2 linked regions of the Stegostoma tigrinum genome follow. The protein of the gene in region 2 purifies or fractionates together with the protein of the main gene of each other region. This does not show direct contact. Links are inferred from orthologs where the notes say so. Each region holds a gene or a part of one and is shown on either strand. Other genes may lie near its edges.

Evidence for each region. The genes of interacting proteins can lie anywhere in the genome.
Region 1: the proteins of cnot1 (region 2) and tob1a purify together in Homo sapiens (co-immunoprecipitation; 3 studies listed by BioGRID and IntAct, counting the BioPlex papers as one, with this or other methods). This does not show direct contact. The link is inferred for Stegostoma tigrinum from reciprocal best matches to the Homo sapiens genes CNOT1 and TOB1.

The regions. Positions count from the first base shown.
Region 1 is NC_081375.1:6,583,928-6,591,427, reverse strand, and holds the start of tob1a (protein Tob1a), read right to left. Parts: upstream 3,016-7,500; 5' UTR 2,786-3,015; intron 1-2,785. UniProt on the Homo sapiens protein: Anti-proliferative protein; the function is mediated by association with deadenylase subunits of the CCR4-NOT complex. Mediates CPEB3-accelerated mRNA deadenylation by binding to CPEB3 and recruiting CNOT7 which leads to target mRNA deadenylation and decay.
Region 2 is NC_081369.1:4,604,335-4,611,765, reverse strand, and holds the start of cnot1 (CCR4-NOT transcription complex subunit 1), read right to left. Parts: upstream 3,002-7,431; 5' UTR 2,843-3,001; exon of another isoform or gene 2,451-2,842; 5' UTR 2,432-2,450; coding exon 2,330-2,431; intron 1-2,329.

The DNA.
Region 1 (7,500 bases), on a different chromosome or scaffold from region 2:
GAGTAGTCGGGGGGGGGGGGAAGGGAGTAGTCGGGGGGGGGGAAGAGAGTAGTCGGGGGGGGTAGTCGGAGGGGGGGGAGTAGTCGGAGGGGGGGGGAGTAGTCGGAGGGGGGGGGAGTAGTCGGAGGGGGGGGGAGTAGTCGGAGGGGGGGGGAGTAGTCGGAGGGGGGGGGAGAAGTAGTCGGAGGGGGGGGAGAAGTAGTCGGAGGGGGGGGAGAAGTAGTCGGAGGGGGGGGAAGTAGTCGGAGGGGGGGGAAGTAGTCGGAGGGGGGGGAAGCAGTCGGAGGGGGGGGAAGCAGTCGGAGGGGGGGGAAGCAGTCGGAGGGGGGGGAAGCAGTCGGAGGGGGGGGAAGCAGTCGGAGGGGGGGGGAAGTAGTCGGAGAGGGGGAGTAGTCGGAGAGGGGGAGTAGTCGGAGAGGGGGAGTAGTCGGAGAGGGGGAGTAGTCGGAGAGGGGGAGTAGTCGGAGAGGGGGGGAAGTAGTCGGGGGGGGGAAGTAGTCGGAGTGGGGGGGTGGGACATTTGAGGGGGGGCAGGAGGCGGGGGGGTCGTTGCAGGTTTTCAGGAGATGGGGGTGGGGGCAGCTTGGGCAGGGCTTAAGGAGGGGGTCTTAAGGGAGTGGGAGGGTTAAAGTGGGTGGAGGGGAGAAGAGAGAGCGGGGGGGGGGGAGAAGAGAGAGCGGGGGGGGGGGAGAAGAGAGAGCGGGGGGGGGGGAGAAGAGAGAGCGGGGGGGGGGGAGAAGAGAGAGCGGGGGGGGGGAGAAGAGAGAGCGGGGGGGGGAGAAGAGAGAGCGGGGGGGGGGAGAAGAGAGAGCGGGGGGGGGGAGAAGAGAGAGCGGGGGGGGGGGAGAAGAGAGAGCGGGGGGGGGGGGAGAAGAGAGAGCGGGGGGGGGGAGAAGAGAGAGCGGGGGGGGGGAGAAGAGAGAGCGGGGGGGGGGAGAAGAGAGAGCGGGGGGGGGAGAAGAGAGAGCGGGGGGGGGGAGAAGAGAGAGCGGGGGGGGGAGAAGAGAGAGCGGGGGGGGGGGGAGAAGAGAGAGCGGGGGGGGGGGAGAGAGAGCGGGGGGGGAGGAGAGAGAGCGGGGGGGGGAGGAGAGAGAGCGGGGGGGGGAGGAGAGAGAGCGGGGGGGGGAGGAGAGAGAGCGGGGGGGGGAGGAGAGAGAGCGGGGGGGGAGGAGAGAGAGCGGGGGGGGGAGGAGAGAGAGCGGGGGGGGAGGAGAGAGAGCGGGGGGGGGGAGGAGAGAGAGCGGGGGGGGAGGAGAGAGAGCGGGGGGGGGGAGGAGAGAGAGCGGGGGGGGGGAGGAGAGAGAGCGGGGGGGGGGAGGAGAGAGAGCGGGGGGGGGAGGAGAGAGAGCGGGGGGGGAGAAGAGAGAGCGGGGGGGGAGAAGAGAGAGCGGGGGGGGAGAAGAGAGAGCGGGGGGGGAGAAGAGAGAGCGGGGGGGGAGAAGAGAGAGCGGGGGGGGAGAAGAGAGAGCGGGGGGGGAGAAGAGAGAGCGGGGGGGGAGAAGAGAGAGCGGGGGGGGAGAAGAGAGAGCGGGGGGGAGAAGAGAGAGCGGGGGGGGAGAAGAGAGAGCGGGGGGGGAGAAGAGAGAGCGGGGGGGAGAAGAGAGAGCGGGGGGGAGAAGAGAGAGCGGGGGGGGAGAAGAGAGAGCGGGGGGGGAGAAGAGAGAGCGGGGGGGGAGAAGAGAGAGCGGGGGGGGAGAAGAGAGAGCGGGGGGGGAGAAGAGAGAGCGGGGGGGGAGAAGAGAGAGCGGGGGGGGAGAAGAGAGAGCGGGGGGGGGGGAAGAGAGAGCGGGGGGGGGGGAAGAGAGAGCGGGGGGGGGGGAAGAGAGAGCGGGGGGGGGGAAGAGAGAGCGGGGGGGGGGAAGAGAGAGCGGGGGGGGGGGAAGAGAGAGCGGGGGGGGGAGAAGAGAGAGCGGGGGGGGGGGAAGAGAGAGCGGGGGGGGGGAAGAGAGAGCGGGGGGGGGGGAAGAGAGAGCGGGGGGGGGGGAGAAGAGAGAGCGGGGGGGGGGAAGAGAGAGCGGGGGGGGGGAAGAGAGAGCGGGGGGGGGGAGAAGAGAGAGCGGGGGGGGGGAAGAAGAGAGAGCGGGGGGGGGGAAGAAGAGAGAGCGGGGGGGGGGAAGAAGAGAGAGCGGGGGGGGGAAGAAGAGAGAGCGGGGGGGGGGGAAGAGAGAGCGGGGGGGGGAAGAAGAGAGAGCGGGGGGGGGAAGAAGAGAGAGCGGGGGGGGGAAGAAGAGAGAGCGGGGGGGGGGAAGAGAGAGCGGGGGGGGGGAAGAGAGAGCGGGGGGGGGGAAGAAGAGAGAGCGGGGGGGGGAAGAAGAGAGAGCGGGGGGGGGGAAGAAGAGAGAGCGGGGGGGGGGAAGAAGAGAGAGCGGGGGGGGGAAGAAGAGAGAGCGGGGGGGGGGGAAGAGAGAGCGGGGGGGGGAAGAAGAGAGAGCGGGGGGGGGAAGAAGAGAGAGCGGGGGGGGGAAGAAGAGAGAGCGGGGGGGGGGAAGAGAGAGCGGGGGGGGGGAAGAGAGAGCGGGGGGGGGGGAAGAGAGAGCGGGGGGGGGGGAGAAGAAGAGAGAGCGGGGGGGGGGGAAGAAGAGAGAGCGGGGGGGGGGAGAAGAGAGAGCGGGGGGGGGGGGGAAAGAGAATGGGGCGTCAGGAACAGTTACCGTCGCTCTCCAGGAGCAGACTTTAAACAGCAGTGAGATAACCGCCCTGTTGCGGTAGCAGCCGCCTCACTGTCGCCTCTCTCTATCTATCGCCCTGAGTGCGGCCCGCGAGCGGAGAAGGTTCTAGTACTTACTCGGCTGTTCCTGGCGCTGATTAAATGGACAGTCAATGAGGGAGAATCTGAGGGAGAAATCCGTCGCGTTTTTGTTTTGTTGAACTTTTAGTAAAAAAATTTGTATTTTCTTTGAGGTGATATATTACGTTCATATATTTTATGTAATTTCCTTCTTGTTGCGGTCAGCGCCGCTCCTCCACCGCACACAACCCGCAACCTGCCAGGAGCGTTTACAACTCATTGCCATCGGCCCGCGGCGCACCGCTATTTATAGCCTCGCTCCCTCCGCGGACCCTCAGCACGGAGGGGGCGGGGCCACATCGTGAAGTGGGAATGCCCGGGACTACTTTATCATTATAACGTCCCGGTAGTAGGCGGGGCCTAGGCTCAGTGCGCAGTTTCGATTGGGCGAACGCGAGCGTGTCCCCGCCTCTTTCGCCGCAGAGGTATTTAAACGTTTGGTCGGGAGGGCGGGGCTCTGAAAGTAATGTTTTGATTGAGCTAGAGACATGTCTATCATTGCGTCCCTCAGAATCGTAAATGGTTGCTTTGGTAAATAGTCCCCACACGATCTAGTTCGTTTACAGTTAAAGTTCAACCAGAAGACCAAGAGATGCAAATCTAAATCACGTTATTAGTGAGTGCTGACATTATAGAAATCGTCAAAATAACAATCATAAGGTACAAAGTGTCCATATAGGCTTCGTGTGTGATAAACACTGAGTGCGCATGGATACCGAGTGACTGGTATCTGGCTAAAAATACAGGCGGCTGATCATGCCCCGTGCTCTGATTGGTCGGAGCGGGCAGTGGGGGGGCGGGGAATTCGGTGGGGAGCATTGCATTCTGATTGGCCGCCGGTATCTAGGGCCGGTGCCTGGCTCTAACCTCCCAACGAAAGATGCCGGGGGTTGGTGAGGAACGGGGGCGCGCGTTTCCTGTCACAACAAAACCGCTTGCCCACGGGCCGGGCGCGCGTCAGCATGTAATCGTCCAGTAGAGAGGGGAAAGCAGGACTGCAACATGCAGGTATATACATTTCGGTGCAATGACGGCGAGTTTGGCTGAGGCGGTTCGCACCGGGGCAGCCGCGCGCTCCCGATCAAGGGCGCTGCTGAAAGTCAAAAGCTGGTGGCAGTGCGCAAGCGCAAGACCCTGGACCGATGCATCCAATCAGAAGAGGCGGGCGTGGCCGTGGCGGAGCATGCGCACAGCAGGGTGGCACTGATCTTTCCTGCAATGGCGCAGCTGAGTTGGCAGCTTCAGGGGTGTCCTGCCTGTCCTGCAAAGCTGCTCTTGTGCAAACGTGCACTAATGGGGCCCTCGGTGCTCCCCGGACGCATTGGTAATGAACTCACGATCCATAGCCAAGACTGATGTACTCCAGAGATGGGTCAAAACACCACAGAATCATTTGGGGGAATTTAAATCCGCGTAAACGCCCGGAACCAATGGCTTTGCAGGCAATATTGATCAAGAAATTACCAGAATGTTACAAAAACCCATTTGGTTCGCAAGTGTACGTTGGGGAATGTAATCTCCTGCATTTACCTGGGCTGGGTAACAGGGCACAGCACTGTGTTTCACTTAGCTGTCCTCTGAAACAGCCCAGTAAGGCACTCAGTCCAGTGGGAATTGGGAACGGGCTATAAACTGCTGGCTTCACTAGCAACTGGAATCCCAAGAGTAAGGTAACACCAAAATAGCCCCTATAGCCGTACAACATTGTGTGTTCCATGACAACTATTCAAGAGTGCATACTCTGCTACTTACAATTAGAGAGAAAGGAGAGTCATGTTCCAGAGACCTAAAGGTACACAGTGTGAAAACAGGCCCTTTGACCCAACTCATCCATGCAGACCCTGTTTCATAAACCAAACTAGTCCCATTTGCCTGTGTTTGAATTAGTTTATTATTGATATTTTACCTCAATGTCATTTCCTGCATTATCCTCGCATCCATTGAGATCTTTAATATTTAGAAATTTATTAATTGACATGTTGAATATTCTCAGTGACGACGCTACCAGAACTCATTAGGTGAAATATTTCCTCTGCATCTAAGTCCTGAATAGCTTACCCGTTAGCTTCAGTTCCCCCAGATTCCACGCTCTGGAACTTAGCATCTAGAGTGAAGCACTTTCAGAATGTGACACAGTTCACTGAGATTACATCTTATTCTTTAGTCTTCAGAGTATGGGCTACTTTACACTGAATCTCTCCTCATAGGAAAGGCCTCTCATACCAACTATCAATCTTGCCCACCTTTGTTGCAATCCATCTTAGACAAGTTAAATGTTTCTTAAACAAGACAAGAGTTCCAAGGGTGGGTCTACACTTGCGTTAAGTGGAGTAAGACTTGTTTTTTTACCCTTATATTTTAATCCCTTGCAATTAAGCCTCATGTGCCATTTGTCTTGCTGGCTGCTTGTTACACCTTAAAGTTAACCTTTAAATTAACAAAACTATCTCAAATATTTCTTTCCTTCCTGTTGACAAGATTTGATCATGAACTACCAACTGACATCTCCTTGTCATTTATTCTATTCAAAATCAACGTTATTTTATATTACCATATGAAGAGAAAATGCTTTAATTTAAAGAGGGATCTCGAGCTGTTACATTTTAAGTATTAACAAGCTTCAATGGATGAGAAACAAAATGTCTAGTAATAGAACTATTAACACGACAAACAATAGTAATTATCTAAACACATATTTGGTACAATTCAAACCAGTGAAGAACCCTAAACAGCAACAAGTCATATTAACCAACAATGGTCAACTAATAAATTACGAAACAGCATCGAGCTAAACTAAAATATCAACATAAGCATGTGTTCAAATGAATCCAGCAGATCGAAGACTATTAAAACCAAAAAGTTACACAAACAAATAATCAAATGCAAAAAGGAGAATGAAACAAAAACTTGCAAATACAAAAACTCTACTCCTCGAAGCTAACGATAAAAGTTTTTAAAAAACATATATTGAGAAGTAAAAGTGAATGTTGGTCCTTTAGCATAATTTCATTTTTTACTTACTTTGAGCTGATTAAATATCTAGAGGGAATAATGAGAACCAAGAAAGGCACTTTTCTGGGTCCTCAGGATGTTTAAAGAAGAAAGTGAGAAAGTTGCAGTTTGTAATGTTCCATAAGTCTAGATTATGTCTTTGGATCAGAAAATTGCAAATGTCATTCCTTTATTTGAGAAATGACAGAGAGGGAAACCAGGTACCTACAGACTTGTAAAGTTAACATTAATTAGGGTGAGGTTACCTTTTATTGATCAGAATAATTGAGTCTTGGATCAATATCAATTGATCAGAGAATCAACAATATTTTGTGAGGTTGTGTTTGACTAACGCAAGTTAATAGAACATAGAACAGTACAGCACAGAACAGGCCCTTCAGCCCACGATGTTGTGCCGACCATTGATCCTCATGTATGCACCCTCAAATTTCTGTGACCATATGCATGTCCAGCAGTCTCTTAAATGACCCCAATGACCTTGCTTCCACAACTGCTGCTGACAACGCTTTCCATGCTCTCACAACTCTCTACGTAAAGAACCCGCCTCTGACAACCCCTCTATACTTTCCTCCAACCAGCTTAAAACTATGACCCCTCGTGTTAGCCATTTCTGCCCTGGGAAATAGTCTCTGGCTATCATCTCTGTCTATGCCTCTCATTATCTTGTATACCTCAATTAAATCCCCTCTCCTCCTCCTTTTCTCCAATGAAAAAAGTCCGAGCTCAGTCAACCTCTCTTCATAAGATAAGCCCTCCAGTCCAGGCAGCATCCTGGTAAACCTCCTCTGAACTCTCTCCAAAGCATCCACATCTTTCCTATAATAGGGCGACCAGAACTGGTTGAATTTTTTGAGGAGGTTACTGGCATAGTGAATCAGGGAGTATATGCAGACACTGTCTTTTATCAATGTCCAAGTGCATTTAATAATGTTTTACAAATTAATTAGACTGGAAGCATATGGAATTGGAGGTAACCCTGTGATGTGGATTAATAATTGCTTGGAAAGGCAGATAGACAGAAGGGTTAAAGGAAACCTTCTCTGATTAGCAGTTTTCCATTTTTCACCGTATATAACCAGTTTGGATGAAGAAATGAAGAATTACATTTCCAGTTTTGGACTTTACAAGAAGTAGCAAGCAGTGTGGATGGCAGCAGAAAGTTGTGAAGGCCGTAGACAGACTAAGTGAGAAAAACGATGGCAGTTTAACTCAGCTGGAACACAACATGGGGAAGTCTGAGGTCATCTGTCTGGATTGGAGCAATATAAATTACAATATTTTCCAACTGCGGAGGGACGAGGAGAGATAGAGTGATTCTGGTTAGATCCCATTTATGCTCAGCTCTGGACACTGTATGTCAGAAGGATATATTTATTCTTTGAGAGGATGCAGGACAGATGCAGGAAAATGATACTGAGGTTTAAGGACGTACACTATAAGCGTAGATTTCTAAGCATCGCTTATGCTTCATTGAGGTTAGAATTGTAAGGGGTAATCTAAATGACTTTTAAATTAATAAAGGGATCAAGCAGATAGAGAAAAACTAATATCTCTGGGGATTGCGGGTACAGAAAAAGAGGGCAAAATCTTATAATTCAAACTGGGTCTTTCAGGGATGCAATCAATAAATATTTCTTCCCAAAAAGGGGAATCTGGAGATTATGAACCTCAACTGATTATAAATGTTATGGATCAATCAA
Region 2 (7,431 bases):
GATGAGGCTTCTTCTGGAGTACTGTGCGCAGTTCTGGTTGCCCTGCTATAGGAAGGATATTATTAAACAGTAGAGGGCTCAGAAAAGATTTACCAGGATGTTGCTGGGGATGGACAGTTTCAGATATAAAAAATAGGCTGAAAAGACTGGGACTTTTTTCGCTGATGCATAGGAAGTTGTAGGGTGACCTTAGAGGTTTATAAAATTATAGAGGCATTAGTCTTTTCCCTAGGCTGGGGGAGTTCAGAACCATATTTTTAAAATGAGAGGAGAAAGATTTAAAAAGAATGGGCTTTTTTTTTAAAAAACACATTGGCATAGTATGGGAACTGGACTGCCAAAGGAAGTGGTGGATGCAGATACAGTTACAACATTTAAGACATTTGGATAAGTACATGAATAAAAAAGGGTTGGAGAGAAATGGGCCAAATGCAGGCAGCTGGGTTAGTTTAGTTTAGGAACATGGTCAGCTTTGACTGGTCAGACCAAAGGGTCTGTTTGCATGCTGTATAATTCTATGACTAATCATAAATTAGCAAAGCCAACTTCACATACAATTAATAAATTTGTAGCAGAGCAAGTCACTAAACTTCCTGAAGTACTTTTTTTTAAGGCTGGGTAAATTCTCTCCTTAAAGATCACACATTGACTGCTTTCCTCAATGTTCAAAAACTTCAGTAAGTTTTAGAACTCAGTTGAATTTTAAACTATGACAAGAACAAGTTGCAAATTGTTTTGAAAAGATCAAAACAAAATCCAAAAATACCCAAGGATTCCAAACTATCTCATCACAGATACTGGTCGAGTTTTTTTATTCATTCATGGGTTGAGGGCATCTGCTGGCTAAGCCAGCATTTACTGCCTACCCCAGAGGGCAGGTCTGAGTTAACCAGATTGCTGTAAGTCTGGAGTCACATGTAGTCCAAGGAAGGATGGCAGTTTCCATCCCTAAAAAAACCAATAGTGAACCAGGTCGGTCTATTCAAAAATTGACAATGGGTTCATTGTCATTAGAGTTCAATTCCAGAGTTTTCTTCAATTCAAATGTCATGATTTGCCCTGGCAAGATTTGAAACCAGGTCTCCAGAACATTACCTGTCTACAGATTAATAGTCCAGCAATAATTCCATTAGAGCATTGCCTCCCCTTGAGTATATTTCCAGTAATTATATCAAATAAAGTTTGCTGTAAAAGAAGAACGATTGTCTTTCACTGTCCTAATGTATAACGATCAAGCAATAAGTTACAAAACTGCACCTTCTACTCAAACATATCTTCAAGCAAGAAGACAATTCTGAATTCAAGTGGTTTTCTCATTTGTTTCAGGTTTCAATTTTGTCGACTGTTCCAGCTTAATCATGACAAAAAATTTCAACACCTTTGTAGTTGCCATTCAACTATATGGTATTTTCTACAAATCCCACTTCCTTCCAATGGTTGACAGACATGTACTCAACTTTCCAAATGCAAGGAACAGTCACAGTCACAATTAGATGACACTTTCAAAGAACAATTTGCTTTTGAAGTCCAGTGATTCACAACAAATGAGCTAGAGAAGTTTCTCTCAACTTGTAAGTTAAACAAGGGAATGAACTAGTTCAATTGACTAAGAGACACATTAGTATAGTTAAATTGAAATAGAATTCTAATTAAACTGAAACAAAACAGGAACCAAATGAGACCTTGTTAAGCTGTCAATTAATCTGAATACTTCTAATTAAAATCTTTGCAGATTAATTACTTAATATTAAACGTTTAACAAATCAAAAAGTTGTGTTAAGTACGAAGTATTGCTGAAAAGAATTAGTTTCAACTACAGGTCCATACACAAGAAACAGACAAGTTCCATTCGTTCCCTTCCCCCACTTTTGATGTCCCCTTTACTAGGCCTCACTCCTAAAGGTGTTAGTTACGAGCACCGACTTGAGCAGTTTATACAAAGCGTAAAGTTTACCAAACGTGGAAAAAAAACTTTCTGCCCATCTGTTTCAGCAGCTAATATCCGAGGGAGCTTTCCCTCTCTTACACGCTAAACAATTTTAAGTTCAATATGTGACCATTAACTTTTTGGTAGGCCCAGACTTCACCATGTGAGTTTGTATTTGCCTTTCTACTTTCTTATTGTTACAATTGTTTGATGTTTTATCATTATAAAGGAGTAACCAGTTTGCAAAGACAGTCGTTTTGTTTTCTAAAAAAGAATTGTTACATCAGTTTCCCTCTCTCTCACACACATAACACTTTCGTTTTCTCGGTGAAATGAAGCAGGCCTCAGGCTCCCGGGGCCTCTAGTACATGGTGTGCGAGACTTGTTTCTCGGCAAACTCACATGAGAGATCTCCTGCTGGCTGGATTTGTAATTCTTCTTGGTCAGGTTGTCCACAAGGTAGCTGATTTGAGACAAGGCCAGCGATAACGAGTCAAGATTCATTGCTGGTCGGGGCGGTCAGCTGAGGAAAGCGGGAAATGGTCATTATTCCCCTTTCTTTTACTGGAAAAAGAAAAATTTATCTCTCCTCTTCAGCGCCTTTCCTTTCTGTCTGTCTGTCTGTCTCTCTCTCTTTTTAAATATACAACGATGGAAGAGGGAGGGAATTGAGGGGTTCGGAGGAGGTGGTGGTGGTGAGGAGGGGAGGGGGGTTGGGGAGGAAGAGAGCTCCTTCTAAGTGTTCTCACGGGAAAGTCCGCCGCTCCAATGGTCACTCCACAAAGTGTCCGCTCCGCTTCCTCTTCAGACTTTGTCCCCGTCAGTCTCAGTCTGTATGTGTGTGTGTGTGTGTCTGTCTGTCTCTCTTCTCTCTCTCGATTTCAGTTAGGTCCGCCGCCCGGGTTGCTCGCTCACTTTTCACCCGCTGTCGCTCCTCTTCCTCCTTTTCTTCCTCCTCCTCCGTGTAGCCTGAACATGGCGCTGCTCTGCCGGTAGGGTTACACACACACACACACAGAGCGAGAGAGGAGAGGCCGAGAGTGTGGGGAGGATTGGGGGGGGAAGAGAGAGAGAGAGAGGGGGAGGGGATGTTGGGGGGGAGGGGATGTTGGGGGATAGCAGCCTGGGGGAGGGAAAGTAAGGAGGAGAGGTGAGGTGGAGGAGGGGTGGGAAGGGAGAGGGGAAGAGAGCGCGGCGTGGGCCTGGGCCTGCTGGGCCGGGGAGGTTGTTGTTGTTGTTGCTGCTTGGAGGTGGTGATGGGGAGGGGGGGCGGCGGTGACGGGGGTGCTCGCTCTCGACTTTCTCGCTGATGGGCTCGGTGCAAGCGGCTGCAAATGGCGGCGGCCTCGCTCACTGCGCCATCTTGGAAACACCGACCCTTCCAAAATGAGAGAGAGAGAAAAAAAACACAATAACCACACGGAGAGGAGAGGAGAGGAGGCGGGGGGGGGAAGGCGAAAATATGTTCCTCCAGGAAACTTTTCAGGGCCGACCCGATCGTGTTTGCATTTTCTCCGGGAAAGAAATGAGCCTTCAGCTTCAGTTTATTGCTTGCTTTTTTGGTTTTCTTTAAAAAAAACACACCGACACTAGAAGGAAAACAATCCCCGAACCCGCCGCTTAGTCGGGCGAGAGCGAGACTGTTCGGATAGAGGAGGGGCGGTAAACAGTTGAGGGTTTCCGGTTAGCGGGTTCAAGCTGAGAACAGTGCGGGTATATGTTCAAAGTTTGTTATTTTATTTCTTTAATTGTTTTTTTAAAAAAACATGTTCGGCCCTCCCCTCCTCCCCTCCTCCCCTCCACATCGCCCTCTCTGATATAGTTCGAGAGAAAGACGCTCTCCCTCAAGCCCCGCCCCCATCCGCCAGGACCAGTCGCAGGCCCTGGTCGTACCCGCCAATCATATGCCCTGCCCCCAACAAGCCGTGGCCAATCACACATCCCGCCAAATACCCGCCACAATCCGCCAATTACAGGCCACTCGACTTCAACCCGCCATTCACAAATCCCGCCTACGCTGACCTGTGCCGTGACTGGCACAGCGCGCCTACACGCCAATCATCAGTCTCCCACACCTCATCCATCTCAGAGGAAATCCCGCCCCCAGGTTCCCGGGACGTCATCGGGGGGCGGGTAGGGGAAAGAAGGCATCCTCATGTCAATCATAAACACTCCCGGCCAATCACGGCTAGAAACCACGCCACTCACGTCGCCCATGGCGACAGTAAACCTCGCGCCTAATATGCACATCACAGGAATCGCCCATTTCGCCGCCAGGGGTTCAACAACAAACCCCGCCCTCAGTTGCCGGGACCGCGTACATAATACAAGTCAATCGCAGACGTCTCTCTGTCCCCACCAAAATTGGTACAGTCCAAACTTTGTCGCCCTCTTTAAGATAAACGAATTTTTACTTTAACGAACACGCAAAATTTTACTCTGTAGTTTCTTTTAAATCGAATCTTCGTGGAATGGGTGTTTTTTTAGTTTTAAAAGACATTTCATTCTGTGCCAACAGGGAAATTCTTGTTGAAGCGGAATATTCCGAATCTGTACCAAGTGTTGGGGGTAGGTTATTCTCTAATAATTATTAGGCGCGTTAACGAGAGAGGAGCAATTTGTTCATCCTACCCTCCTCCCATCTCCCGGGGATTAACCCTCTCAGCACCTCTACCACCGCGGGGATTGACCCTCACACAGCTCCTTCCCCCGTCCACCACCCACGGGATTAACCATCACAAACCGCCCTCTCCCCCCAACAGTCTTTTCCCTCCCCATGATTAACCCTCACACAGCTCCTCCCCCCCAATACTCCGCCTCTCCCCCCGGGATTAACCCTCAGCGACCCTCCCCTACACTAACCATCACCTCCCCCAGATTAACTGTCACACACCTTCCCGGCCCCATATTCCACCCCTCTTTACCACCCCCCCCCAACTTTGATTAACCCTGTGAGCCTTACACACCCCGGGGATTGACCCACCCGCTTCACCACGCACCCTGGGGATTGACCCTCAGGCAGCCCCTCCCAACCCCCACGCCTGGAGATCGACCCTCAGACAGCCCCTCCCCACCCCCACCCCCACTCCCTTCCCCCAATTAATTAACATCCCATCCCACCCCTCTGGGAGTTAGCCCTTATAATCCTTTCAGGATTAACCCTCACACAGCCCTGCTTCTATTCCACTCTTATCATTATACCTCTGAGCGTAATTCAATGCTGTTCTGTTCAGTTATTCTGCGACAGCAAGTTCCACCTCACTACATCCTTCATGTGAGGAAATTAAGTTTAAATGTTTCAGTTAATTGGTTCTCCAATGGCAATGGACCTTGCATGCCACCTATTGGCCTTTCGCCACCCTTCACCCAACACAGTTGCCATTCCTAAAATAGCATTAAAATTATGGAAAATTGATGTTGGTTTTGGTAATGTCTCGCTTAAGGTGGGGAGCTTTATTTTTATGTTGGCCTCCATGTTCACCTGGTTCTTCTGATTGTTTAAAAATCCAAATTTGTGATGGTGTGTTGTAACAAGATAAAATATAAAACAATATTGTTGTTTCTCACACTTTTGACAATTTATGCTACACATGGGAGCCGATCCAGTTGTGTGATGACACAAGTGGATTCTGGTGTGTTCTCACAATTAACCCTGGCATTGCATATCAGTGATTTGCGATTGGACCTACCCATGGACTACCTGGAGGACCCTCACAGAAAGCCATTGACCAGCAAACAACACCTTGAGGACTTGTAAAAAATCTGTTAAAAGAAATTGCAAGCTCCTCAACACAACAAAAACTTTTTTTCAGTGGCAGTTAACTGTCATTTAGCTGTGAGTGATTCTTTGAATCAGTGCTAACTACTGTGAACAGAAAGCTGATACAGCACTTGTAACTTGGGTGTGGTTTAAGAAAGGTATACAAAAATAAATAGTCTCTGCTGATACTTGTCAGCATAGTGTGGGAATAAAGCGAGATAATCACAAATCAATGGGGAATTTGGAGCAGATGGCACTGTTTTTCGTCTGCAATGGTTGCAGTATTTTGAGTTGCCACTAAATATTTAATTTTTAGATAGGAGACATAACCAAAATGGTCTGTACTAGCTACACTTGAGTCTCCTTCCGTCTTCAATCTATCATCATAGATATATGTATTCCCTTTTCCCATTGTTTGTCTAGCATTTTCCACATTACAACACTGGCTCCAGTTCAAAACTTTGTAATTAGCTATAAAGAGGTTTAAGACTGGTGATTGCCATATGCTCTTAATGTACTACACTTTGCTAGTAGCAAGTTCCGTATTTTCAAGACTCTAAAATAGTTTATTCTTCTGAATTCTGCATTCGACAATGGGTATAAATGTCAGTCTATAAAGCGGTTGTCTTCCCAACACGCCCGTCAGGCTGCAAAATTTGGTTGACAAATTGGTGACACCTGGGAAAGTTTGAGACAAAACCATCAGTGCTGCCTATCGAATATCTAATCTGCATAACACCATGCAATATAAACAGCCTACAGGAAGTAGGCATCGTGAGCAAGGAAATGAACAATCCTACATGATAACTACTCCAGACAGGCCATTGCAGGAGAATGCTGAACACTTGTTCAAAATGACCTTTCTACTCCCAGCTCACGACTGGTCAAAGGTCCTAGGGTGGTCAACAGAACGGTTTTAAAGATACCATGAAAGCCTACTTGAATGTGATTTCAACAGCAGGGAAGAGAATGCACTGGATCATTCACAATGACTTGCTTCGCCAAGTCCTAACAGCTAATGTGGATATGTGATTTTTTTTTAATGCTATTTCTCTCTTTTATTTTACCTTTTCCACTGTTCTTTGTGCAGCTCAACCAAGTCTTCACCTCACCATGTGATCAGAGATAATGGGCACTGCAGATGCCGGAGAATCCAAGATAACAAAGTGTGAAGCTGGATGAACACAGCAGGCCAAGCAGCATCTCAGGAGCACAAAAGCTGACGTTTCGGGCCTAGACCCTTCATCCCTTCTAGGCCCGAAATGTCAGCTTTTGTGCTCCTGAGATGCTGCTTGGCCAGCTGTGTTCATCCAGCTTCACAATTTGTCGTCTTGCACCTCACCATGTGGGAGGTTTGCTCCCACAAACCCTTAGGGGTGGGATCTACTCAGGCCTATCTGGCCTGCTGTGGTAGAAGAAAATCACTTTCTGCTGTAACTAGAAGAGGCTGTATTATTGAACAAGAAATTGTGTGTTGCATGTTAGCATCTTGTTTAAGGTTACATTGATGCTATAGCCATTCAGAGATTGAAGAGAACCTGGAAATTATGTTTTACACTGTCAAGATCCTAACCTGAGTTGCCCTTAAATCCACATGAAAACATAGCGAGCAATGCTTAAAACTCTTCAGCATTAGCTCTTTCAGACCTTTACTATTTTATACAACGTCCACCTCCTTTACCTTCCACTAATTACACCACTCTCTCTTACTGTCTCTCTTTCTCTGCCCTTTTGTTTCTCTCTG